Oryzias latipes: one gene and its partners. The main gene of each other region encodes a partner of the protein of the gene in region 2 in a complex. Links are inferred from orthologs where the notes say so. Each region holds a gene or a part of one and is shown on either strand. Other genes may lie near its edges.

Evidence for each region.
Region 1: the proteins of snap29 (region 2) and stx17 are in contact, whole or in part, in a crystal structure (PDB 4WY4), measured with the Homo sapiens proteins. The link is inferred for Oryzias latipes from reciprocal best matches to the Homo sapiens genes SNAP29 and STX17. Residues at the interface, in NP_004773.1 of Homo sapiens: Arg52, Thr56, Ser59, Thr60, Arg62, Ser63, Leu66, Glu69, Ser70, Val73, Gly74, Ser77, Glu80, Leu81, Gln84, Val87, Leu88, Thr91, Met94, Val95, Lys97, Met98, Asp101, Leu102, Ile104, Ser105, His108, Ile109, Ser111, Ile112; in NP_060389.2 of Homo sapiens: Glu170, Trp172, Glu173, Leu175, Glu176, Leu179, Ile180, Ser183, Val186, Thr187, Phe189, Ser190, Val193, Asn194, Gln196, Gln197, Ile200, Ile203, Ala204, Val207, Asn208, Ala210, Ala211, Val214, Glu215, Thr218, Leu221, Gly222, Ala224, Ala225.
Region 3: the proteins of snap29 (region 2) and vesicle-associated membrane protein 8-like are in contact, whole or in part, in a crystal structure (PDB 4WY4), measured with the Homo sapiens proteins. The link is inferred for Oryzias latipes from reciprocal best matches to the Homo sapiens genes SNAP29 and VAMP8. Residues at the interface, in NP_004773.1 of Homo sapiens: Leu206, Leu209, Ser210, Leu213, Leu216, Lys217, Ala220, Leu221, Met223, Gln224, Ile227, Glu228, Gln230, Asp231, Leu234, Leu237, Thr238, Val241, Asp242, Leu244, Asp245, Ile248, Lys249, Thr251, Glu252, Val255, Arg256, Leu258; in NP_003752.2 of Homo sapiens: Leu16, Glu19, Val20, Val23, Ile26, Met27, Gln29, Asn30, Arg33, Ile34, Arg37, Asn40, Leu41, Leu44, Lys47, Thr48, Asp50, Leu51, Thr54, Ser55, His57, Phe58, Thr61, Ser62, Val65, Lys68, Phe69.

Annotation. Positions count from the first base shown.
Region 1 is NC_019874.2:17,622,638-17,627,907, forward strand, and holds the start of stx17 (syntaxin-17), read left to right. Parts: upstream 1-2,042; 5' UTR 2,043-2,491; intron 2,492-3,836; 5' UTR 3,837-3,924; coding exon 3,925-4,047; intron 4,048-4,136; coding exon 4,137-4,202; intron 4,203-5,270. UniProt on the Homo sapiens protein: SNAREs, soluble N-ethylmaleimide-sensitive factor-attachment protein receptors, are essential proteins for fusion of cellular membranes.
Region 2 is NC_019867.2:6,082,625-6,086,902, forward strand, and holds the end of snap29 (synaptosomal-associated protein 29), read left to right. Parts: coding exon 1-50; intron 51-1,202; coding exon 1,203-1,288; intron 1,289-1,364; coding exon 1,365-1,469; intron 1,470-2,491; coding exon 2,492-2,649; 3' UTR 2,650-3,259; downstream 3,260-4,278. UniProt on the Homo sapiens protein: SNAREs, soluble N-ethylmaleimide-sensitive factor-attachment protein receptors, are essential proteins for fusion of cellular membranes.
Region 3 is NC_019867.2:25,800,220-25,804,631, reverse strand, and holds the end of vesicle-associated membrane protein 8-like, read left to right. Parts: intron 1-1,367; coding exon 1,368-1,553; 3' UTR 1,554-3,210; downstream 3,211-4,412. UniProt on the Homo sapiens protein: SNAREs, soluble N-ethylmaleimide-sensitive factor-attachment protein receptors, are essential proteins for fusion of cellular membranes.

The DNA of each region.
Region 1 (5,270 bases), on a different chromosome or scaffold from region 2:
TGCCACAAAAATAGGAAGAATCAGGAGGAGATTGGAGCTCCCTGCTGGTTTCCACTCCTGCTGTCAAACTTCCTGGATTAGTCTGAAGCAAATAACACCTGAGCACTCCTAGATCTGTGTACACGGGAGTATTTCTGTTCCATTAGAGGACATTACACTGACTTACATCCACTCATTTCCTGAAAACTTGGATTCCAGTCCTAAAGATTCAGTCTCCACCTGTTGATTCTCGTGATTGTGATGGAGTTCAGCTCAAAACAACGAAAACTCTCCGGCCATTTTTTAATAGTAAAACTGATAGGAGACACACGATGAAAAATATGTTTGATGCTATTGAAACTTTCGCTGTCAGTTTTGTTCCTCCCCCTCAGTCTGCAAGTCTGGGAGTCCCCTGAGAGTGGACAGAACACACACAGACACAGACTCACAACATGTGCTAGTACCTGGGGAAATCCCCTGTAACTGGGACTGTGCTTTTTGCTGTGGCCCCTCGTGTGGAGCATCCGCTGGGGGAAAAGAGTGTGTGGGGGTTGGCCTAAATGTCAAAGGTAAAAAGTGCTGAAGAAGATAAGTGGAAACATGGGACAGGCCCACTCACACAGAGTGATCTCAGACTAAAGGAGGGGGAACCCCGATTCTCTGTCTTCCTCGGTCTTCCTAAGTCAACACAGGCAAAAATATCTCACTTAATGAAATGTTCCACGGGAGTGATCAGCCACAGAGTAAACTGTGAGGCATGTTTGCTTTGAGTTTTTTTTCATAAAAATTACCTGGAGCTTTACATTGCTTGGTTTGTTTTTTTTTTTTACTGTCTGGTTGTCATGATAATGTCACATTTTAAAATGTCCCACAGTTTCATTTGTCATTTTCACATTTCATGTATCATAGGGCAACGATCCGCAGTTCGGAAATATTGTGTAAAACACTAAATGCAAAGACCCCACCCACCTCTGGCACCAAATGTTACCTAGCCACAAAACTTCTTGTACAATGAACTCTGTACATTTCTATAACTTTCCAAAAAATGTGTCAGGAAAGGTTTAAACATGTCTAATTAGGCAGCAGTGGCTCAGGTGGTTGAGTAGGTCGAGCAATGATCGAAGGAATTGGCGGTTCAATCCCCACTCTCCCAGTCAACTGTTGTTGTGTCCTTGGGCAGGAGACTTCACCTTCCCGCCTCTAGCGTGGCTCCACTGCTGTGTGAACGAGTATGAATGATGGTCAGAGGGGACGTGGGCACGTGTTCGTGTTGGCAGCAACACCTCTGTCAGTCCGCTACATTTGCAGCTTAACATCACCAAGTATGAATGAGGAGGGAATGATAAATAGATACACTGTGTAAGCATTTTGGGCGTCTGGAAAAGCACAGAAAAATTCAATCCATTATTATTAATTTTAACAGAGAGCATTATCACGCTTTTCCTAAAATAGCTGTAAATTTTTTAATATAGATAGATGTTGTCCTCAATATTACAACATCCATAATATTGCAGCTTTGTGAAAATAGCATATAATATGTTATAAAGATGAAAAATGTTTACAGACAAGCCAAGTTGTCCTTTCTGTGTGGATACATAATTGAGCCTATGGATTGAGGACAATTAGAGAAAATTGATTCTTAGCTTCTTCTTATTTTTTTGTAAAGGAAACTTTATTTTTAGGCATTGATAAAACAGCTTTCATAGTTGCTGCATAATTACAACACGGAATTTCTGTCCCCAATTTTTATATATATATATATATTGTTAATGCTCTCTTTTATATAATTATAAAAAACATATATATATATATATATATATATATATATATATATATATATATATATATATATATATATATATATATATATATATATATATATATATATATATATATATATTTATTTATTTATTTATTTATTTATTTATTTATTTATTTATTTATTTATATAAAAACTTTGAATTATTAGGGCACAGAAAGCTTTTACATTCTTAAATTTTTTCCCCCGAAGAAAATGAAAAGTTTTGAATGTGGGGAACAGATGTGTGCACTACTGCTGTTTGAGGTCGGAAACTTTTCGTAGATGCACTGGGAAGGATTTTGTTTACAAACAACTTGTCAGAAGAGCAAAAATCGACAAAGACCTTCAAACGTATTTCATTTATTTGCATAACTACATTTAAGATTTTTTGATGGGTCATTACGGTATTTAATAGATGAAAATCATATCGTCGACGGGTTTTGTTAATGGTAAGAAGAAGGAACCGCAATTATGTTAAGTTGCCTTACACAGCTGCTTGTTTTTTATTAATCTTATGACGTCATTTTTGCCTACATGCTACAGTATTGTTAATACTATAATACGTGATAGAAGCTTACTATTTTTTGTTGCCTTTTTGAATTGTCGGGTAAACTTTTCACGTACTGTGTGTCAGCAACTGTACTGTTAGTGAGTTAGCTGACGGTGATGCAATATCACTTCCTGTCTGAGACCAGCCCGAAGTAAACGGAGGTAATGGAATTATGTTTCGTTTATGAAAACATGTTTCGCTAAACGTAAAAATGTATTTTTAACTCGACCTGCACTAGGTGGGTCGCAAGCCGACATAATTCATAAAGACAACTATTGGGAAAGTGAGTTGTCAGAGTATCTCATGATTTCTAAACAAATGGACCTCTTCTTTATAAATTGGGTCTCGAACTATTCATATCATATGTATCTCAATAAATTCGAACATCTGGAATAATGGTTAATAAATTTTGCAGCCAATGAAAACCCATATTCAAATCTACATAAAATGTGAATATTTTTGAAAAGTTTCATATTAACCGCTGTGACTGTCACAGTCTTTATTGATAATTAATTTAAACACCTCAAAAGGTCTGTCAATCTAGATCAGTTGGTCATCTATCATTTGGAAGACTTTGAACTACACAGGTGTTCAGAAACTGATCACTGACACAGATCCTCTGCACAAGGAGATTCAAAGAGTGCTTTTTTCAAGCACACTGACTGTTAGTCAACTGGGGGAAAAAATGTTTAAAAAAAGATACGCAGATAAAATTTGGGAGGCATTCGGAAAGACTGGAAAGCTGCTAAAGTCAGTTCTTCACCAACTACGCACATCCAGGAAATGAGTTTGAACTACTGCATCTCTTGTGTCACACTACTCCTGAAACTGGAAAGTTATAGGTTTGGTATCCACAGTTGGGCCACACCAATGCCTAAAAATTGGGACCCAATGCCAATCAAGCTTGACGCTCAGCGTTTGATTCGACCCATCTTTGCAGTTCTACCTGACCTGTCAATTACAACTAATGTGACTTTAACTTTACCCAGACTATGGACAAAAAATGAAAGGTTGCTTACTGATTTAATTATATGTGTGAAATGAGAGGAACATTTATATCCATCCATTTACCTTCAAAACTTGCTGAATCCCTTTGGAAAGTCACAGGGTATTTATAGTTATTTTTTTCCAATGAATGTCTCAGAGTTTAGAAAAGGAAAGGCTCGAGATCAGAATCAGTTATTTAAGGTCTTAGAGTGTCTCCAGCCAGTGGTAGTTTGGGAAACATCAACAGCATTTTTGGTTCCTGCTACAAATCCTATGTATAAAATAGACCTACAGGAGTCACATAATATGACCAAACATACAAAAATGTGTATGTTCAACATTCAGCCTTTATTCTCTGTAACAGCTTTGACTTAGTTTTTGCTCAATGGATACAGGACAATGCCATGAGGAAAACCTCCCAAAGTTGAGTGTCAATGTCTCCACTATTATGCTTGTATCAACTCATTTATCCATTTGAATTGTACATTTACCAAAACCCTGCTCTCCTGGTATTTACAGTGTGTGGGCACGGTGAGAAAAAGCTGAGCAGGTGGAGAGTCTTGAGTTGCACAAAGGTGTTGGCTGTGGGCACTACGCAGCAGGACACATGGCAGAGGAAGGCAACAAGCTGACACTGAGGCGCCTGGAGGCTCCAATCCACAAGTTCATTAAAGTGGCTCTACCCACAGACCTGGAGCGGCTACAGAAACACCACAGTAACATACTTAAGGTGACGGCTGAAACCTGGTTGGACGTAGGATCACATCCAAAGCTCAGTTGTATAAGTGTTTGTTTTTTTCCCCCCCTTAATATTTACAGTACCAGCATAGCCAGCAATGGGATCGCCTCCATCAGGAGCATATTAATGCCAGCAGAACTGTTCAGGTACAACTAGTTTCTCTAAACTAATCAAAAACCGTATGTAAACATATGAAATAAAGGGTGGATGTTTACATTTTAAATTTCCCAGCATGCATGTCTGTACAGGTTTCCTGTTCATCTGTAAATTATCTTTGCCTTGAGATGACATTTTCTGATTTTCTTATGTTTTTCTCACTGAAAGATCAAAGGCTGGTGTCAGGCCAGCAAACTGGTACCTTTATCCATTAAGGTGCAAAAAGTATCCAAGAGAACAAATGAAGAGTCAATCATATGTCTTGGAAGTAATTTAAAGTCAAGACCGACACTCAAATGTCCTATAAAATATGTCACACAAGAAGAATCAAAATTAATGATGTTTGTCTGCAGTAAAATGCATTTGTCAAAAAATAAATGAATCAAGTAGTCCAGCGGTCTCAAAAGCTTTAGGATGTACCTTGTGCTGTTCATTAATAGGAGTTAGTCCAGCTGTCATGAACAGAGTTCAACAAAATATTTTAAGAATTAAATGCTAAAAGGTTTTAATTTAATCTCACATTTCACTCATTTTTAGAGTTACCCTACCATTTTTTCACATTTCCGTTTAGTTCAGGCACTTTTTTATTTTAAATTGAGGAGGAGTTTCCAACCATATAAATCTGTTGGGATGCAACCTTTTTGTGTAGAATTTAACTCAGTTATGCTTCGCAATTTCCAAGCTCATAAATGTATTTAATGTTCCATAAAATCGATCTCACTGTAGAAAACCTTTAGTTTGATATGGATATCTGTGCTCACAAATGCCCATATTCAAACATCAATTTGAATTGAATTGGACCACATTAACATGATTGCACTGGATCATTGAATGGTATTATTTTTAAGTTCATAAATCACTACACATAATGATGAACATGATGACAGACACACGCACACACATGCACACACACACACATTGCCTGTCAATGTGCTTGGGAAGTCAGAACATCCCAGAATTCTCAGTTCAAGTTCAAGATCATGCAGCAAATCTAAGCAGCTGTCATTTTTCTTTGTACTTTTAAAGCTTATGCAGACCTGATGCAAAGGAAGTGATAC
Region 2 (4,278 bases):
GAGACAAAGCCGCCAGCTGAGGAGCCAACGACCTACCAGGCCAATGAAAGGTACGCTTTACTTATTTCTTCTTTAGATTAGAAGTGCTTGTTGACTGTCATCATTTTACAGTTAACATTAATTGAAATCCAGAATCTTTTTAAATATTCTTACCTTACTTATTTAACATTGGTTTCAGCTTCTTATAAACACAACTTTCCTTTTCAGAGAATCCAACATGTCATTTACGTGTTTGGTGATTATTTTTACTCACTTCTAACACCTTTCAGGCTCAATCTTGTCCTACATTTACAGGAATAATATTCAAAACCCCCAAGACAAGAGAGTGATCTCTGTCTCAAATTTTAGTCTGTTTTTAAAAGTCTTAAATCAGTTTTGGGGGGAAAAGATTGACAATTCTGAAAAAAAATGCTTACAAAAAAAGCTTTATATTTCGAATAAAAAAATATTGTTTTGTAAAGTTAACTAATTAAAAATACATTTAATTTTTTTTCAATTTCTTAATTTTTTAAAGAAACTTTTGAATAAAAAAAAAGTTATCTGAAAGGCAGCCCACTTTTTTTAGAATGTTTTATTCACACTGATAGTTTCACATTGAAACAGTTTCACATTGACACCTGGGAGCTGCAAAGTGAAACTACTGTTGCTCCTGGGAGCTCTGAGTAGGAGTTAAGAGCCTTGCTCAAGGGCATTTTATTTTGTACACTGTGTTACCAAGACTACATTTGATTAAACCGAATCTGCTTTTGGAAAACTTACCATATTTGTTCATTACACCAGAATGCACAAAACATTTTCAAAAGCCAGAGTGGACTTGTTTTATTTTTACTCTGTACATCTTGTCTGTTCTTTAAGGAAGGTGCTTTCACTTCTTCCTACACACGTCCTTAAATATCAGCACAGCTACAGACGAATCCATGTAGAGAGCCCAACAGAAACATTATCAAACAAACCGCCTCTCACAACTGTTTACAAAGCAGTCATATACTCTGGATGGATGTAAAATATAACAATAAACAACAATAAAGTCACAAAAACAGTCACCTTGAGCTAGTATGCAAAAATGCAAGCTCTCCATAAATGTGAGCCAATGCTAGGTCAGATAAAATACCTCCTACTATGATATGATACTATTTTCTACTGTCTATATGAACGGTTTTGAATTATATACATGAATACTTTTTCTGTGGGTTATTTTTTAGGTTACAGAGCGCTCTGTCCAACAGCAGAGAATATGAAGACAAGTATCAAGCCAGCCACCCCAACCTGAGGAAACTGGAAACATCAGGTAAGGATGAACATGAAAATGTCAATGTTCAAACGTGTCACAGTACATCCTACATACTTGTGATCTTCGCTTCCAGGTTTTGGAGCTTCTTCCTCAGTAGATGGGGGTTTACCTAGACAGAATGGATACCCTAAGAACCAACACCTCAGAGAGGCTCATCAGACCCTTGACAAAAACTTGGGTAAGAAATCTAACAGGACACTTTGTATTTCGGTTATAGGGTTGAGTAATTTCTTAAAATGACATTTAAACTTCCTTTTAAATAAGAATGCTTGATCAACACGATGTGGTCTGCCTGAAAGGGCCTGGCTGGTCTCATTTGCAAGGGAACCCTGGTGTGGTTCATTACACTATGAATGCAACATAACACACTTTGTAGTCAGAGTTTCTTTCAGACAACACTGCACCCAAACAAGCAGCTGTTGCTGCATGATTTTTTGAGAGGCCTATGCAAAATCTATTTTTTGAGCTTTAAGTATATTATAATGTTCATTCCTTATGAAAAGAAACCCCAAACCGGTATTCTGATCCATTCAAGCATTTCTAAGTATTCCTCTAAAAAACGTTTCTCTGAGCACCAGCCCCTCCTTATCCACAAAAACGAGTGGGTTATCACAAGCTGACGAAGACCAGTGAGAGCTGCACCTTACAGGAGGAGTCTGGAGAAATGCAGACACGCTAGCGAGGCCGACTATAGGTTGATGTCATGAAATTTGCGGCACCCACAAGGAGCGAAAGGTGGTGCCTCAGAGACTGAGTCAATTTACTTCCAACTTGGAAAATTAACTTGCGAAAATAACTCGTATTTAATAAAAAAAAAATTGTTATTTTGTGTGCCAAAGGTAAAATATTATCATATTCGTGGGATATTGTTTACTATTAAAGTCTTAAAAATAGCATGGTATATGCCATTTACACAAGTGTTATATGTGCACATTCAAACAGTCCACCTTAAGAGATGTTCGTATTAGCAAATGACTGCAAACCTTACTAAACAGGGTAAACGCTGCAAAGAATAAAAAGGCTAAATTTACCCCAAAATTGATATATTTGTCATATAGTCTTAAAGTAAATGTAATGAGGTAATGGGGGTTAAAAGTGATTTTACACAGTGATGAATTGTGGGATATGTTCAGTTTTTTTGTTGAAAAAAATGTGGTTGAAATGTGACTTCTTTAACCACATCTGCTGTGATTGATTTAGATGAAATGTGTGGAGGCTTGCAAAGACTGAAGAACCTCGGACTTGGACTCCAGTCGGAAATTGACAGCCAGGACGACTCTATTGGTTCACTTCTAAGCAAAGTGGACATGATGGATGGGAAGATCAGTAACACAAACCAACAGCTTAAAAAGCTGTAGGACCCACACTCTGACATTTCCACGTCTGACCCTTCATTTCAGTTCAATTTACTGTCTTTTTTTTTTTGTCTTTGGAAAATCTTCTTTCACTCCTTTTTTTAATTTTTACAATAGATTTTCTTCATCACCAAGTTTTTGTCATTCAAAATAAAATGTGAAATATTTTACAGATAAAAAGGAAACCATCTGTTGAAAAAAAAGACTTGTTGTTATTTAATTTTTTAAAGATGTTCCTGATGTAAGGACAGATCCGGATCTGACCCCAGTTGATGTATAAAAAGAAAAACAAGCAGTAAACAAGCTCAAGTCACGTTTGCCTTACACGTACTTTCTTTGGTTTTGATTCACAGTTACATTTCATTTGATAAATTGTTCTATAAAACACCTCTTAAATATCAAATAAATATCTCAAATATTTTAGTTTTGATTGTAAACATAAGAGATGAAGGAAAACTTGCACCATTGGAATACAATGATTATTTCTCTGATTTTTCTTTTCTTTTTTTCTTCAGACAAATAAATCACAGTACTAAATTGGCCAAAATTCCTACATAAGTTCATGTTTGTGTGTAATCAAGCACAGATATCCAATAAAAGCTTAATCAAGGAACTTCCATGTGTTCTGCGAATACTTTTTTGACTAAAGTTAAAAAAAACTTTTGTGTTGATGGATTAGTGAGGTCAAATTACCACTAGGTGGCACTGTGGTTCAGGATTAAAAACTAAATGACCATCGTAAAAATCCTGGTTTGGTATTATTTATATTAAATGGCAAATTTCCCCAATAATTATAGTATAAAACGCAAAATTAGAAGAAAATTATTAGAAGGAAACAAATGTGTTTTAACTATTAATACCGGTAATTGTAATATCAAGGGGCATATTTCAAACCAACATCTGTGCTGCTTTTTGTTTTTAGTCAAATGAGCATCCGATGATGTGTGAGCGTTTAGTGTGATGAGCGCCTTCTGCTCATGTCCTCACGCAGAGATGATGTCCATTCATTATCATTCCTCTGCGTCAAACCAGCTGCTCATGCAGCCGCAACAAGCAGTCTTTAGCATGACTTGGTAATTACAGTTCAGGCTTCTTTGAAGGACATTTGAGTTGGGGGCGCGACAGAAAGGAAGATGGGGGTACCCGCTACCAGGGGCCCCTTGAGGCCCCCCGGGCATGTCTACACGAGTACGCTTTTTGTTATGCCTAATGGTTTTTCTGTTACACGTGTGATGGATAAGCATAGTAACTTGCTATTTAAAGAGTTTCTAAGCACAGTAAATTATACTTTTTATGAATTGAAACCCTTTTAAAGACAAAATTAGTTCAAAAAATTATTTTCTTTTTTGGTGGACCATTTGTTTGTTACTCTTTTGCCTGAATTCTGTGCTTTATGAAAGATCCTATTTGGACACGTGGTAATTTCTTATTTATTGCGGATTATAATGTCTTTTTGTGATTATTTCTTTATATTTACGTGCTCTTTCTCATATTTTGCACTTCTTTGGTTAAAATGATTGTTTTTCCTATCATGTTTTGGTCACTTTGCTACTTTAAAATGTTTTTTTTGTGATGTTTTGTCTCAACATTCTGCATTTTTTTCCTCTGCTTATTTGTGTTCTCCTCCGACCA
Region 3 (4,412 bases), about 20 Mb from region 2:
CACTGGGCTCCTCACCTTGAAAGCTTTGATTTTACTGAAGCAGGTACAGCACAGGTGGAGCTGATGGCTTCGCCCGTTTCTCATTTCACTGTGTGTCCATTTCAATCAGCTATAAATATAGGTGCAAATAATAACATTCAGTCATTAGTCTTTTTGTGAGGCTGGGATGTTTTTCTAGTGATCTATGAACTTGTCTGCTGTAGAAAGACTTCAAGCTAAGCTGATGCATGTTCTGCTACATTTTTTTTTTATTATAAACAAAACTTCATGAGGTAGTTGATATAATAAATTAGCCTTACTGACGAGCCTTAAGGTAGATTTGCATCAAATTGGGAGAGTCTGTGAATATCATGAATCCAGACATGCAGACGTGATTATTGGTGCTTTTGTAGAACCCTTCATAAAGAATAACTTGACCTCTCAACATGTCCGTGTCTTCCAAGCATTTGCTGCATTTGGGGTTTGTAGATAAGCAGTCAAGGCTTCCATGTATTGATGAGGCTAAAAAGGTTTGACGGTAGCTCCTCCCACATGCATCGGGAGCACCAAGTCTAAGCGTGAAGCAGAGGATTTGCCGTTTGTCAAACAGCAGGCAGCAGACGGGAGTTTCGCGTTCGGTGTGAACGCAGCATTAGTCACTACCCTTGACGATATTTCAATCTCCTCAAACCATGCGCACTGCGTAGGGAGCCGGTTAGCGCTGGTCAAGTGATAAGTGGACGCTCCCCGCGTTTAGCCTGACTGTTCGAAATGAGAACATTAGATGCACCTCACTTCTGACTAGATTGCTACGTGAAGGGTTAAAGGGTTAAACCAGGCTGAACTTTGACCAATCAGGGAGTCAGATTTGGTAGAGGCGAATGGAAGACATCTTTGTCATTCAAGGAAGTGTCAACCATTTGAACATTGAGCATGGAGGAGAAATGAATAACTGTGATTTGTGCCCAGATGGAATTCTTTGACTTCAAGTCTTTTATATATTGGAATGAAACTGTGAAAGAATTCTGCTAACTATAGGTGGTGGACATGTGCTGGTAAACAGCACAGGTTCGCTAGTCCAGTGTGAACACCAAGGGCTTAAGATGTATACGTAGCTTGAGACTGGAATTGGGAAAGTAGTTGCTTATTTTCCTCTCTAGCAGTAAATTCTCTCAGGAATCTGATGTTATTTCTTTAGTTTAATCCTAGAATATTGATGGTGCCTGTTCGTCAAAGTGATCTCCATGCATGAGTCGTTCCTTCTTTTAGCTGCTGTCTTCCATCTGTCACATGACCCCACCACCCTAGTTTGAGGTCTTGTACCCGATCCATCAGAAGCATTCCCCTCCTGACTGGCTTTCTTCTCTTCTCCCCCCTCCCTCGCACAGGCTCAGCACTTCAAGCACACGGCACAGAAAGTCGCCCGCTCTTACTGGTGGAAGAACGTCAAGCTGGTGGTGGTGCTGGTGGTCATCGTCCTCGTCATCATCCTCATCATCGTGCTGCTGGCCACCGGCGTCATTCCCACCGGAAACCCCGTGCCTCCCATCGTCACCCCCACCACCAAACCCTGAGCCCACAGCAACACTCGGATAGCTGATACATGGATGAAGCACACACATCCCAGTTGCACACTGTAATGTACAGACTCTTGAAAATTACTCTCCTATGAAGAAATATTTGACACTTTAGTTTCCTCTTAATCCGGTTCTTCTTTGATATCAGCTGCTTGTCACCTTCATCATGTGATAAAGGAGCGTCTCCTAGTTATTTATAGAAGTGAAACGCCTCCTGTTGGCCACGTCAATATTGCATGCAATGTCCAATTATCTAAGACTATTTTATTTTATTTTTTCTGTTACAAACTTCTGTACAAGTTGATCTGTATTAAATTGATAAATATATCTGACGCTGGGCTGAATCGCACATTAGAAGTAAATGTTACCAGTTATATCAGTCATGTTTGTTTTATCCAAAATCCACTACTTTTTTCTCTCTGCTCATCGTTTTTGGAAACGTGGCTACAGAAACAAAGCCCTGGAGTTTGTTACACTCAGATGGTACTTTTCCAACCTTTTGAAGGGGTCAGTGGTGCATTCAGGGCTGAAAGCGCTGAAAGGCAGAATCGTGCAGAAGTGTTTTGTCATTGGATGAGATGTTTACACAAGGTTGTACAATTTGGTATGGTTCTTCATTGCTGTTTTCTTTGATTTTTCTTTCTCTGCCGGTCCCTCTGCCGTTCATGTTACAACACGAAGCCCTTCCTTTGCGGCTTCATGTAGTAAAACCAAAGCCAGCATGAGGATGATGAGAGGCTTTTCCAGCCTATCAGCTGAGAGAAGCCATTTAGATCATGTGCCTTTCGCCCCCTTCTGGTCTAGTCATGCCAGTCACTGCTGGAAAAAGTCAATTTCAACGTATTCTTACTCCCAGGATGCAAGTTTGTGTTTCTCGTCCCGCAGCATTGATTTATGCTTCTACTTAACTGTAAATAGCTGACATTTTCTCCAGGTTCCATAACTAATCAGTGTCTTAATCAAAGTGTTTCTTGAAAAATGTAATGGTTTATTTTTTGCATCAAATCAATTAATATTTTTGTCAGTTTGAGCAGATAATTTACATAGAAATTAATGGTAAAATATTACAGAAGAAATGTTTGTATGTGTTTAGTTTCTTCTGTACGTGCGTCTCTGATAAAGCTGGGCCTCCGGGCCTCCTGGTCGCCGGGCCTCCTGGTCGCCGGGCCTCCTGGTCGCCGGGCCTCCTGGTCGCCGGGCCTCCTGGTCGCCGGGCCTCCTGGTCGCCGGGGCTCCTGGTCGCCGGGCCTCCTGGTCGCCGGGGCTCCTGGTCGCCGGGGCTCCTGGTCGCCGGGGCTCCTGGTCGCCGGGGCTCCTGGTCGCCGGGGCTCCTGGTCGCCGGGGCTCCTGGTCGCCGGGGCTCCTGGTCGCCGGGGCTCCTGGTCGCCGGGGCTCCTGGTCGCCGGGGCTCCTGGTCGCCGGGGCTCCTGGTCGCCGGGGCTCCTGGTCGCCGGGGCTCCTGGTCGCCTGATCTGCAGTCTTTCTCTATTGCATGAGATCTTCCTCTCTTCCCTTCTAGTCTGTTTAAGCTATTTACGACTGCTGCTGTGGTAAGGCGTCATTCTGTCAAGTTTATCTCTTATAGAATTGTCCAGACTTTCTGGTATTTAATGGTTTTATTGGTGGATTCAATAAATAGTATTTATGTCATTCATCCTGTGTCGGTGAGCTTTTCTTCTTTCTGCCTCAAAAGTGCTAAAAAATGCCCTGATTGGTTAATTTAAAAGATTTGAAAGTGAATTTATAAATGTCCAATAAAAGAATAAAGTTCACACCAGTGCTCTTCACTTTTTTCTTTTTGAAACAACTCTATGCAGTTGTAATAAGTTACCTTAAACAACATGTTTAACAAAAGAATAAAAGAACTTTATTTTGACATACATAAAGTTTTGTGATGCTCTAAAACAGGGGTTTACAACCTTTTATGCCAAAATAGCCACTTGGGTTTGTTTCCTAGTGACCAAAACGCAGCAAGAGCGAAAAAGTCACTTTATTATTCAGAAAAGTACATTTTATTTATGATTGTGTGACTATTAAACCATTCACTTAAAAAATGTAGCCTTTATATAATACTTTCTGTTAACATTTTCTATTGATAACAACTTTAGCTTCTACTTTTGACAGCAGCTCATACATGTTCCTTTCAAAATAAAATACGCCTTGTGTCAAATGAGATCCTCGCTGCAGCAGATTTACTTGCAGGTATATACTTTTAGTAACTTTGCCTATAAGCAGCAAGAAGACACTACTGTGCTGCTGAAGATAAGAATATGTATTTTAAAACTATTCCAATTATAACACCTCAGACAATCGATTAAACCTTTAACCATCTTTTTTATCTGACATCTGCATAAAATCTATGGAGTCCTATACTGTTCATAATTAAATAAATAAATATTTAATTCAATAAATAAATATGGCCTCATGAACAAACACAATCAACCAATAAATCTCTCATAAATATATAAAAAGATCATGAAATTGTGAAAAACCTGCACACTGATTTTAAATTAGCCATTGTATTATTCAATATATTTCATTTTGCTTTAAAAACGTGTTCATTATTTTAAAACAGCATTTTAAAAATATTCATTTTAATCATGTGGAATATATTATAATTTTACGTCTTTTTTCAGAACCTCGGATTTCAAAATCAATATTTTCCAAAGTAGCTTTGTTTTTATTTAATGTTGCTGTTTTTCACAATGGCTGATTTATTTCATGAAGAGCTTTTTCAGGAGAATGGGTCTGTCTGTCAATCAAACTAGACAAGGCGGAGACACTTTTGTGATTGGCTATTCCTTTACCCAGACATGAGCAGCAGCACCCTAACTCCCCTGACTATATCGATCGAAG